Linked DNA regions of Caenorhabditis elegans. The gene in region 3 interacts genetically with the main gene of each other region. Each region holds a gene or a part of one and is shown on either strand. Other genes may lie near its edges.

What was found.
Region 1: of unc-54 (region 3) and ruvb-2, changing one suppresses a phenotype caused by changing the other (phenotypic suppression), as found in Caenorhabditis elegans (one study listed by BioGRID).
Region 2: of unc-54 (region 3) and ruvb-1, changing one suppresses a phenotype caused by changing the other (phenotypic suppression), as found in Caenorhabditis elegans (one study listed by BioGRID).

The regions. Positions count from the first base shown.
Region 1 is NC_003282.8:6,917,370-6,921,123, reverse strand, and holds the start of ruvb-2 (RuvB-like 2), read left to right. Parts: upstream 1-1,717; 5' UTR 1,718-1,725; coding exon 1,726-1,767; intron 1,768-1,860; coding exon 1,861-1,998; intron 1,999-2,051; coding exon 2,052-2,180; intron 2,181-2,231; coding exon 2,232-2,508; intron 2,509-2,554; coding exon 2,555-2,945; intron 2,946-2,996; coding exon 2,997-3,149; intron 3,150-3,626; coding exon 3,627-3,754. Other genes in the region: T22D1.18 (Transposase), read left to right, coding at 961-1,167. UniProt on the Caenorhabditis elegans protein: Possesses single-stranded DNA-stimulated ATPase and ATP-dependent DNA helicase (5' to 3') activity suggesting a role in nuclear processes such as recombination and transcription.
Region 2 is NC_003283.11:9,978,640-9,982,393, forward strand, and holds ruvb-1 (RuvB-like 1), read right to left. Parts: upstream 2,164-3,754; 5' UTR 2,058-2,163; coding exon 1,992-2,057; intron 1,945-1,991; coding exon 1,849-1,944; intron 1,772-1,848; coding exon 1,060-1,771; intron 1,003-1,059; coding exon 545-1,002; intron 496-544; coding exon 397-495; 3' UTR 152-396; downstream 1-151. Other genes in the region: tofu-1 (Schlafen-like protein 1), read left to right, coding at 2,762-2,797, 2,845-3,049, 3,102-3,426, 3,481-3,754. UniProt on the Caenorhabditis elegans protein: Possesses single-stranded DNA-stimulated ATPase and ATP dependent DNA helicase (3' to 5') activity suggesting a role in nuclear processes such as recombination and transcription.
Region 3 is NC_003279.8:14,861,646-14,865,399, forward strand, and holds the start of unc-54 (Myosin-4), read right to left. Parts: upstream 1,838-3,754; 5' UTR 1,806-1,837; coding exon 1,743-1,805; intron 1,181-1,742; coding exon 1,052-1,180; intron 1,004-1,051; coding exon 863-1,003; intron 382-862; coding exon 1-381. UniProt on the Caenorhabditis elegans protein: Required for muscle contraction.

The DNA.
Region 1 (3,754 bases), on a different chromosome or scaffold from region 3:
TTAAACATAATGGCTTGAATGCCATCTCCGTCTGTTTCAACAGATATGAATCTATTCTTTCACAAATCCACTGCGTCATTCAGGACTTCATTTATCTTCCTATTGATTCTTCAATTCACTCCGATTAAGTTTTACTATTTGATGAAAGTTCAACTTCATCGTCATTTGAATTATGTGCTCTCTTTATTTCTGGTATTATTGTTTCTGATTTATGTATTCTCAAGAACAGACTTACATTTAAACAGTGTCTAATGTTGTTTTGTGTGAATTGCAATGAGAGTTTATAATTTTTGTGACTAATTTTCATTTTGACCTTTGAAGAAATAAACGATTTTTTTGTTGTTGGGTTATTTTTATGTGTATAGTAAAATTGAAATGATTTGCTTCTTAATATTTTTGATACCGTATATTCTCTATTAGTTCGGCACCCCCAATTGCTCAACTTTGACAGCTTATATCTCGGATTTAAGCCAAAAATTTCAACTAAGAACATCTTTGTTAAATCTTTTTCTTTTTCTATGTTTTTCATTTTTCGATATCTTCAAAAGCGTGCGAGTTACATATACGCTATTAAAATAGAGCGGTTGAGGTGCCGCACTAATAGAGAATATGTGGGATATAGAGCTCTTTTCGAATGTACAGCGTATCTGTTAAATTTCTGTGATAGTTTTTGAAAATTAGTTTCTGAAAATGAAAACTTATAAGTAGGTTACGATAGAATCATGGAATCGACTGCTACAGCACTTTCCGAAAGTTTGAATTCAGGATATGCAGGATTTCTACCAAAACGTTCCACCGCCTCGGATTTAATTCTCTAAAATCGTATTTCCTAGCCAGAAAAAAGACTTGCCACGTGTAAGCGAGAAGACAAGGCAAAGGCTTGATAGCAATCTTCGCTTCTAAGCATATGCTTTGAAAACCCCGCATACAGCCTCATCGTCGCCCTCATTTCTCTTCCAAATGGCTAACATTGTACCTATTCATAAATCTTTAGAGTATTCACTGGTTGATGTACCACTTCTTTGTAAGAATGATGATCCGAATGATGAGATTGTGATCTATAGCAAATATTCGAATTCAAGAAGATTTATTGATTGGGCTCTTGTTATCACTGTGGCAATTACAGCATGCTATTCCTTATTCACATTGAGCAAATTTTATCTTTGAATTATTGGGAAAAAAGGTTTTGATTGATTTCTTTTGGCATTTTAATTAATTTCTTCAGAAATGATCCCGGCAATCGAACTTGAACATTCTGGTAAAAAAAGAGCATCTAAGTATTCAATTGCGCTTTTTTTCTATATTTATCTTTTTTATAATTGGTTTTATACATAAGATTTTATAAGTTCTGATTTTTTTAATTGATAAAATAAATACATTTATTTATGCTCGATTGATCAAATTTGAAAACATTTTACAAGGCTCATAAAGATTAAATTAATTTTCTTTAATATCCAGTCACTTTCAAAAACTTGACCGACCAAAATAACTTTAAATGCTTAATTTATAAATTTTTTTAAAATTAATTTATCCAACTCCAGATCACGTTGCTATATAATTAGAGAGTGAGACGCAGAAAGTGCGAGTTGACGCACTTCTCGTGCCCCTTGATTGACGCTTTTTCTGTGGTTGGCGCGTTTCGTGCGCGCGATTTTCGAATTTTAGGTTCACTTTTTCCGAATTTCAGCAAATTTTCAGCTTTATATTTCAATTTCAGACATCAAAATGGCGACATTGGACGGAATTAATGTGAAAGATATTGTAAAGGTATTTTGTTGCTCATATATTCAATTTTTGTGTTCAATTTAGCATATTTTCTAATAAAATCTAGGTTCAATTGCATTACAGTATATTTTCCAGGTTGAACGCACCTCCGTACATTCACATATTACTGGTCTAGGTCTTAATGATCGTTTAGAAGCTGAATATGTGTCTGGAGGAATGGTCGGCCAGGTTGCCGCTAGACAAGCTGCAGGACTTATTGTCAAAATGATTCAGGTAATGTTTTCTGCACAAAAATTCAAAACTAAAATTGCTACTATATTTTTTAGGAGGGAAAAATTGCCGGACGTGCTCTTCTTGTGACAGGAGAGCCTGGAGCTGGAAAGACTGCTATCGCCATCGCAATTTCCAAAGAACTTGGTGAGGACACCCCATTTGTCAGTATTGTCGCTTCAGAGGTTAGTCTAATGTTTTTTTTCAGATTAATAAATATCTTTTTTAAATTTCAGATTTATTCAAACGAAATCAACAAAACAGAGGCACTTACTCAAGCTTTTCGACGTGCTCTGGGAATTCAGATTAAAGAAGAAACTGAAGTTTTGGAAGGAGAAGTGATCTCGTTGGAAGTTGATCGGTCAGCAAATGGAATGGGACCAAAGGTCGGAAAACTCACAATGCGTACAACTGATATGGAAACTATCTACGATCTTGGATCAAAAATGGTTGATGCGTGTCTGAAAGAGAAAGTGATGCCCGGTGATGTTATTCAAGTTGATAAGGCTTCTGGTGAGAATTTTATTTAATCAAAAAACTGAAAAATTATCGTTTTTAGGACGTGTTACTCGACTTGGCCGTTCATTCAACCGTTCCCACGACTATGACGCAATGGGTCCAAAAGTGAAGCTTGTTCAGTGTCCAGATGGAGAAATTCAAAAGAGACGTGAAACTGTTCACACAGTTTGTCTTCACGACATTGACGTCATCAATTCTCGTACCCAAGGATACGTGGCACTCTTCTCAGGAGACACTGGAGAGATCAAAGCAGAAGTGAGAGATCAGATTAATAAGAAGGTTTTGGAGTGGAGAGAAGAGGGAAAAGCAAAGTTTGTACCAGGAGTATTGTTTATTGATGAAGCTCATATGCTTGATATCGAATGCTTTTCGTTCCTCAACAGAGCCATCGAAGGCGAACTCAGTCCCTTGATTATCATGGCCACCAACAGGTTTGCAAATATATTTTTTTTAATATTGAGTTTTTAATTAAATATCTTTAGATTGATCGAAAAAGTGCGTGGAACAGATGTCGAATCTGCTCATGGCATCCCATCTGATTTCCTTGATCGTATGCTCATCATCAACGCGATCCCATATACTAAAGAAGATACAGCAAAGATTTTGTCAATTCGATGTGATGAAGAAGGAGTCAAGTGAGATATATCTTTTAAAAACGCTCCACCGGCAATTGGAAACGCTCTGTCCCCGATCCATGGGTCTTGTTAGGAAAATGGCGACAAAACCGTGAATTCAAACGTTTTTCGATCAGCTTCGCAGATTTCGCCAAAATTTAGGCATTTTTCCGATGTTTTAGTGGTTTTTTGAGCTGAATGAGGTTTTTTTTATTTGACTGAATTTTATTTTATCAGTCTGCATAAAAATCACTAAGAAAAACTGGAAACTTGAAAAAAATGACGAAAAATGCTTTAAAAAATTGGTGAAATCCGAGAAACTTATCAAAAACGTTTCAATTTCCGGTTTTGCCGTCAAATACCTAACGAGACCAATGTTTCGGGGATGGAGCATTTTTATTTGGCCGTGGAGCGCGATTCCACGTTTATTTTGAAACGGGGTTTATTTGTTCGACCCAACAATATTAAAAGTCGATAGTTTTCAAATCAAATTTTCAGATTGCAACCAACTGCCCTTGATCTTCTAGTGAAATTACAAGAAGCCACATCTCTTCGTTACTGTATTCATCTCATTGCTGCTTCTGAAGTTATTCGTATTCGCAGTAAAGCTGAAATTGTCACCACTG
Region 2 (3,754 bases), on a different chromosome or scaffold from region 3:
TGTCAGAATCGATAGAGAAACGGGAGAAAAAGAAGGGAAATGCCGCGGCGTCAGGGACGTGGAGAAGACGTATTACGAATTGCCGGGGTCCCTCTTTGTCGATTCTGTGCACTATGCACTCCTTCCGCTTTGGTGAACATTACGAACAATTCTTGAAACCGTTTTTTTTCTTTTTAGGAACAGTATAAAAATAGGAATCGAACAACAAATTGGGCAAAATGGGGGATCTATCGGAACGAAATAACAAGATCCTCAACATGTGGGGAAACAACTGAGGAAAGATCGAGAGGAATGAGATAAGTTGTAGAAGAAGAAAAATAATTTTAAAAAACAAGAAATGAATTGGCGAAAAATCAAAATTGGAAAACCGAGTCGTTGTGCGGATATGAATGGATATCACTTCTTATTTTTAGGTTGTCGCATCTCTTCTTCGGCCTTTTTCAACGACTCCCCACGATCCATGAACAATTTGGTACAACGGTCCACGTCCTCTACCTGAATAGCGATTTATTTAATACATGAACTACAACATTCTGCAACTTACTTCAATGACCTCTCTTCCACACGTTTGAGCACAAAGACGAGCTGGAGCAATCAATTGTAACGCATATCTCAATGATTTTTCAGCTCCAACTTTACTTAGAAGATCAAATGCTTTTTCTTCGAATTGAACATTTTCAGCTTCGGTACGATGAACGAGAATCTTCCGGATGTCTTCTTCGTTATACTTCATCGTTGGAATAATCATCAGCCGATCGAGCATTTCTGGAGGAATTCCATGTGGTGCCTTATCGCCGAGTCCACGAACTGTTGTGGTTCCACGGTTAGTTGCAAAAACCACGACGGGTGCCATTGGGGACTCGAGCGCGCGATAGAGATAGGTAAAACATTCTACGTCAAGCATATGAACCTCGTCGATGAAAAGAACACCAGGCATTAGTTCAGCCACTCCACTTTCAATGTATTCGTTGACTACTTTGTTGATTTCAGAACGAAGACGATCTAAAAGACAGAATAAAAATTGAAAGGTTCGAGTTTTAATGTTTATCAATCACTCACCAGTAACTTCAGTTTTCTTTGGAGTCATCAGCTGTGAAACAATGTTACTAACATCTCCTTGACGTCCTTGTGGACGGGCATTTGCGATATCCAGATCATGCAAAGACACGTTTTGAACAATATCTTTAGACTTTCTAACATCTCCTTTCGGCATTGGCACAAACTCGTCAGCCTCGAGGTCAAACTCAGATGCATATACATCACACCGTCCAACTCGTTTAACGATTCCTGAGTTCGCTTCAATATAGATGACATCACCAACTTCTACTCGTTGCTTCAAAATCGAGTCATAGATGCTTGGATCCAATTTCAGTTGCTTGCTTCCTTTTGCTGTTTTCAAAGAAAGGACAAGATGAGAGATGGTTTTTCCCATTCCGGAATTATCTGAAGCTTCGACGGGGCTCAACTCTGTAACTTCTCCCTCGTACACATCTTTGGTTTCCTTAACACGCAGACCAATAGCTCTTCTGAAACTTCTCATGAGCACTTCCGTTTTCTTTACTTCATTGGAAAAGACCTCGCTTGCAACAAGTGGCACAAATGGAACGCCGTCACCCAACTCCTGTGACATTGCAAGCGCGATTGCAGTTTTTCCAGTGGCGGGTGGTCCAGCAATCAATACAGCTCGTCCGGCCATACACTTCAATCGAATCATATCAACTACAATTGATGCAGCTGTTCTGGCGGGTGCTTGGCCAACGAATCCAGCAGCCTGTAGAAATAATATTTTATTTAGCATAGGCTTTATTTCATAAGTAGTTATTGAAATTGGACAATTGAAAAAGAAACCTCATAGTGAGCTTCTTGTGTTTCTGTGTCAATTCCGAGTCCCTTGACGTGACTGTGAGCCGCAATGCGTTTAATTTGCTTTGGAGTTGGTTTTACCTGAAAAATTCGATTTAAAATACTAGGTTTTTCAAAAATTAGCTCACTTCTTCGATTGGTGCAAGTCTTGAAGAAGAAGTACCAGATATTGCCTCATCGACTTCCATATCCATTATTTTACGAAAGCGTCAGCGTGAAAATAGAATGAAAAATAGAAATTTAGGGAAAGAAAATAAAATTCGAAAATGTGTGCAGCCATCTCATTTTACGCACAAATGCAGACAAACAGCAATGGAAGGAGACCCGAAGAACTCGGGGGATGTCCAACTGGGGGGATTACCAACTCGGGGGATTGGCCCCGCCCACAGAACCGTGGCTTGCATTACGCCCATTTCTGCAACTGCCGCACGGTTTTAAAACTGTATTTTTCTCAATAGAGCGAGAATTAACAAGAAAAAATAATTTTAAAACCGTGCGGCAGTTGCAGAAATGGGCGTATTGCAAGCCACGGTTCTGTGGGCGGGGCCAATCCCCCGAGTTGGTAATCCCCCCAGTTGGACATCCCCCGAGTTCTTCGGGTCTCAATGGAAGGGAAAGAGGAAAAAGAGATAATATTCTTATTTGAAGTAAATGTCAAATATAAGCCGAGAGTAACTTTTCTAAATAAAATGAATTTGCGAAAGTTGTATAATCACCAATAGAGATCCCAAGAAATTAAAAATGGCATTCCATTCGGGAACCTGTTAATGTAAAATAGCAATGTACCTTTAAAGTACGGTAGCACAACTTTGAGACAATTATCTGGAATTTGTCCCAAATCCTGCTCCCTCGACAATCCTTCGAAATCGAATATTCTGTCTCAGTTATTTTTGGAACAATGGCTGCGCTTTTTGAAGAGAATGATTCTTATTCGGTGAGTTTCTGGATTAACAAGAATAAAGTATAATTCAAGAATTTTAGGATTCCGAAAATGAAGAAGATTTTAGCGGCTTTTTGAGTGAAATCGAAGAAAATGAAAACGAGGATGAATTTGAAAACGACGATGAGTTTGAAGACGATGATGAGCTTGAAAATGTGGATGAACTTGAAGATGACGAATTATCCTCTGAAGAAGTGGACATCCCTTCCGAAAATGAAGTAATTGTCGAGCTTCACGATGGTCAAGGTGAGCAGTTTTATAGTTTTTTGCTCTTTTTCTGTAACAAAATATTTTCCAGCCGAAGTGGAGGAATCACTTCTTGATGCTCTTCTTGGAAAAGCATTGGCAGGAGATCAGATGAATTCTCGAATTGAAGGACTCTTCGAAGACTTGGACTCTTCAGTTGAACCTGATATCATCGATCGCAGCGAGTTAGAGGATGTGGACAGTGGTATTAGTGTTGGAGCTGTTAGTTCTTCCTCTGCAGAAACTCAAGCTTCTGATGCGAAATGCAAAAATAAGGATGCTTTCGACATGTCTTCACTTAAGAAGTATATGCAGTACATCACCGAAGAAGAGCATGCCGTATCAGTAGAAGATATTCCAGATTTTGCTTCCAAAAAGTAGGTCTTGAAGCTTTTCTGAATATTTTCTATTTCAACTCTTCATCCTTCCAGAAATGTGTATGGAACCAGCTTCAACGTTCGCAACGGAATCATGTCTCGTCCACCTCGTTTCGAATTTGCTCGTCACGATCAACGCTGGATCGATTCATGTGTATCCATGGCATACGAGAAAGACAAGACATTGAAAGAATTGATCACACTGGGAAAGTTGACAACAACTGTCAAGGCTGGAGCCAAAATTGAATTCAGAACCAAATTCACGGATGTTCATATTCGAAGTGCGGATGAAATTAACTTGATGGAGACACATGACATCCAACAGATA
Region 3 (3,754 bases):
GTTGTTGTTACGGACAGTCTTGGCGTTACCGAAGGCTTCAAGTACTGGATTGGTCTGGACGATTTGGTCCTCAAGGGTGACCTTCTTCTTATTTGGATCAACTTCAGCTCCACCTTCCTGTTGGGAGGCACCGACAGCGGCGAAGTAGCAAATAACCTTCTTGGTGTTCTCAGTCTTTCCGGCTCCAGATTCTCCGGTAATGAGCATAGACTGGTTCTCGTGGTCTTGGAGCATGTTACGGTAGGCTTCGTCAGAGACAGCGAACAAATGTGGTGGCATTTCTGTCTTTCTCTTTCCCATGAACATACGGGCGCAAGAGTCGGTGTAGATTGGGAGACGCTTGTATGGGTTGATGACAACGCAGAAAAGTCCGGAGTAGGTCTGAAATAGGAAACATTCTAGTTTCGATTTTTAAATACTGCAGGATTCAATCCCTTTGTTTAATTTTATGTTCAGTTGCATTCCCTTTAAGTTCTTCGAAATATAGACCCCTGTTACTTCTAACTTGTGCAATGAATCAAGCAGATCTTCTTCATCTTCTTTTCTTCAAACGTTTTTTCTTAGAAAAATATATCCTCACAATACCTTCTCTCTTCTTTGCCATCCCCAATGGCAGTATCTGATGCAAGGGAGCCTGTGGGGCTCCCGTCATCCACAGTGTAATGTAAGATGGTTCAGAGATTCAGAAGAGAGGCAGAGATAGCCTCATCCCACTCAATTGATGAGAGAATGGGATAGAGAGAAACATTTGAAAACGAGAAGAAAAGAAGATAGAGGGAAGGAGTTTCGGGATTTTATGGGAATTTAGAAGAAGAATATGAATGATTCTCAATGCTTAACTTTAAGTTTCAATGAAACTTACGTAGATGAGCATAGCAGCGTAACGGGAACGCAAGTTATGGAGGACAGAGGCGTCGTTGAGGAAAGACAAGTTGGACATGTCTTCGGTCTTCTCGAACTTTGGTGGATTCATTTCTTGAACCAACTCCTTCTTGAGGGTGACCTGAATCACACTACATTGAAAACCGTAATCATTAGCTTAAAAACGAACCTCATTTCCGCGAGCGGTGACGATGGTGACCTGGTCTCCCTTGGTGGCGGTGATTTCTCCGGCAAGGTATCCCTCTTCTGGATCTGGGATCCAGACGTTCTTCTTGGAGTCATAAGGCTTAGATTGATCCTGAAATTACAATAATGGTACAAAAGAGATCAGAATTCAGAAATATATCACTTCTAAAGAATACCAACTTGTGTTGAAAAATGGTCTAAACCGCTTCACACTTTAGACCCATGAATGGAATGGAATCAAAAAGTAAAATCAAGGTTAAGCTTGTGGTGTAGTCAAAATAAATGTGCCGTCTCAAAATACAGTACTACTGCAGCACAATGTGTCACAAAATTCCAAGTGCAATGCAAAAATTTAAGAAAGGAAGATTTCAATGATTTCAAGGGAAAGATGATCTTGAAGCTAAATCTATGAAAAATTAGAAAACAGAAATAAACATTGATTACAAGGATTACAAGGCAAGCTCAAATCTTCTACCTGAATTTAAAAAATCTATAAGTGTAAAATGGCAGACTTTAACTCAGTTGTATGTTAAAAATCTAGAATTTCAAAAATAAATGCTCAGTTTTGTTAAAATTAGATACTTATGGAGTACTATACGATTTACTCTATAGAAATGAGCATAACAATAAAGACAAATGAAAGAAAAATAAATAAATAAAAAATAAATACTCACCTCCAAAACCTGCTCTCTGGTACGGCGGAGATATTGCCATCCTGGGTCCTTCTCGTGCTCCATGATTTCTCGCTTCTTTCAAATGGTTTCTCTACCTCAAAACTAATGTGGTGCTCCCTTAGTCGAGGTTGATGATGCGAGTGATGAGTGCCTGCTTCTTCCTCGGCAGGAGGATGTTGGCACCCGCAAGCCACGCCCCTCTTTGGGGATTCTACGAGGTGTAAAGCTGTGTGCGGCAGCGGCAGCGGCGGGAGAGACGGGAACCCGGCTTCCCGGGAATACACGAAGCGAGAGACGCCTACGCGTAGTGGAGGGTGCCAGAGAAGATAGTGGAAGTCTCAAGAATTCCATTGGAGCACGAAGAAAAAACCAGGGATAGAGATAGATCGGGAGTTGGTAAGATCGGGAAAAATGAATTCAGAGAGTACGGTCGGTCAACTTTTTTTATAGGAAAGTGCAGAACAGTGATAAAAGGAATAAGATAGAATGTTTACATACAACCAGTGAAAATAGAATACCAGTTTGATTAATGGTTCTTAAACAGATCTTCAGCCTCCTCTTGATAATCTTCCACGGTTCACCACTAGATCTTCAGATTTTAAGCAAATCAATACATTTACGACCTAGTTAACTTGCCTTTGCATTACTCTTTTTACAGAGACCAGTGAAAACCGAAAATACTCACTGCAGTATTCTAAGCGGCAAAGCTCTAATATCAACCCTAAAATTGTTGATCTGAAATTGTTTCAGTGCAGTTTTCCTTTAATTTTTTTTGCAAAAAAATCAAGAAAATTGTTATAACAATTCTTTCAAAAAAAAAATCAAAAAAATTTTTAGACCAATTCTCCAAAAAAATCACAATTCTTTAAAAACCTCCCGGAGTGTTTACCTACACTTCCTGAAAAACTTTCAAAGTTTGCAAAAAAGCATTTAGAGCAATTATGCAGGTCTCTAAAGTAGTGGTTAAATGAGACAATTTCAGATCGATATTTTAGGGGTTGAGAGAAAAGTATTGCTGCTTAAAATTTTGCAGTGACATACCTTTCGTGACATAATCTAAAACACTTCAGATGAAACATGTCTCATTTTGAAGTTTGAGGGTAAAATGTAAAAATTTCCTTGTTAGAAATGCATTACAAATAAAGTCTGCAAAATTGATACTAACCTACTTTGGAGTCGAAGTAAGTTTTAAGACTATTTTTATTGATACGTAGAGGAGAGGGGGGCAAAAATATTTAATATTTGATTACGGTACTGCGATTCAATGCTACAGTAATAATTTTGATCAGATGGATTCGAGGTATATCATTGTGGCGGACAATCGATTTGGAGGCACCTGTAATACTTATCAATTCTACTCATTCGAACTTCAAGTTGCACCAATCAATTTTTCGAGCCTTGGTAACTACTATGAAGTTGTCGCGTTTGCTTTAAAAGGTCTCCTGATAATAGTATCTGTCTAAAAATTTACGAAAAGGCTCATAAATCATTCTCATGATAGTATGTATGTAACTGGATAGTCTTTCCGTTTGCTTTATCTTCTTCAAACATTTTCTTCAGATTTTTGTGCTTCTCCAGCAAATCAGCTTCTCTCCAAATCCCACAATCTCATACTTCATCCTGACGAAAACAATTCGCGGATGCTGTAAGACAACACGGGAATATCACGAAACCCCTAGAGACCCAGACAAAAGTAACAACTGATTCTTCGTCTCGCGCTCTCCTTGATTGCAACACTATCTCCAGGCGCCTAGGAGTTTGAAGGCATGTGGGAGCGCTTGGAGCATCCAGCAGCATTTTCTGGGTTCCACCGGGAGGAGACGAGGTTTTTTGATTGTAATAAGAGATACACAAAAGCCAAGGGTCAGTTGGAAGAAATTTCCGGGATGATAAGATAAATTACACGTTCTTTGATTTTCTGTGATATATTCTTTTAAATGTAAACCCAACTGTACAATGAACCAAACTTCCTGTATTACCCAGCCTCAGTGACGAGCCAGTTTAAGCTCAAC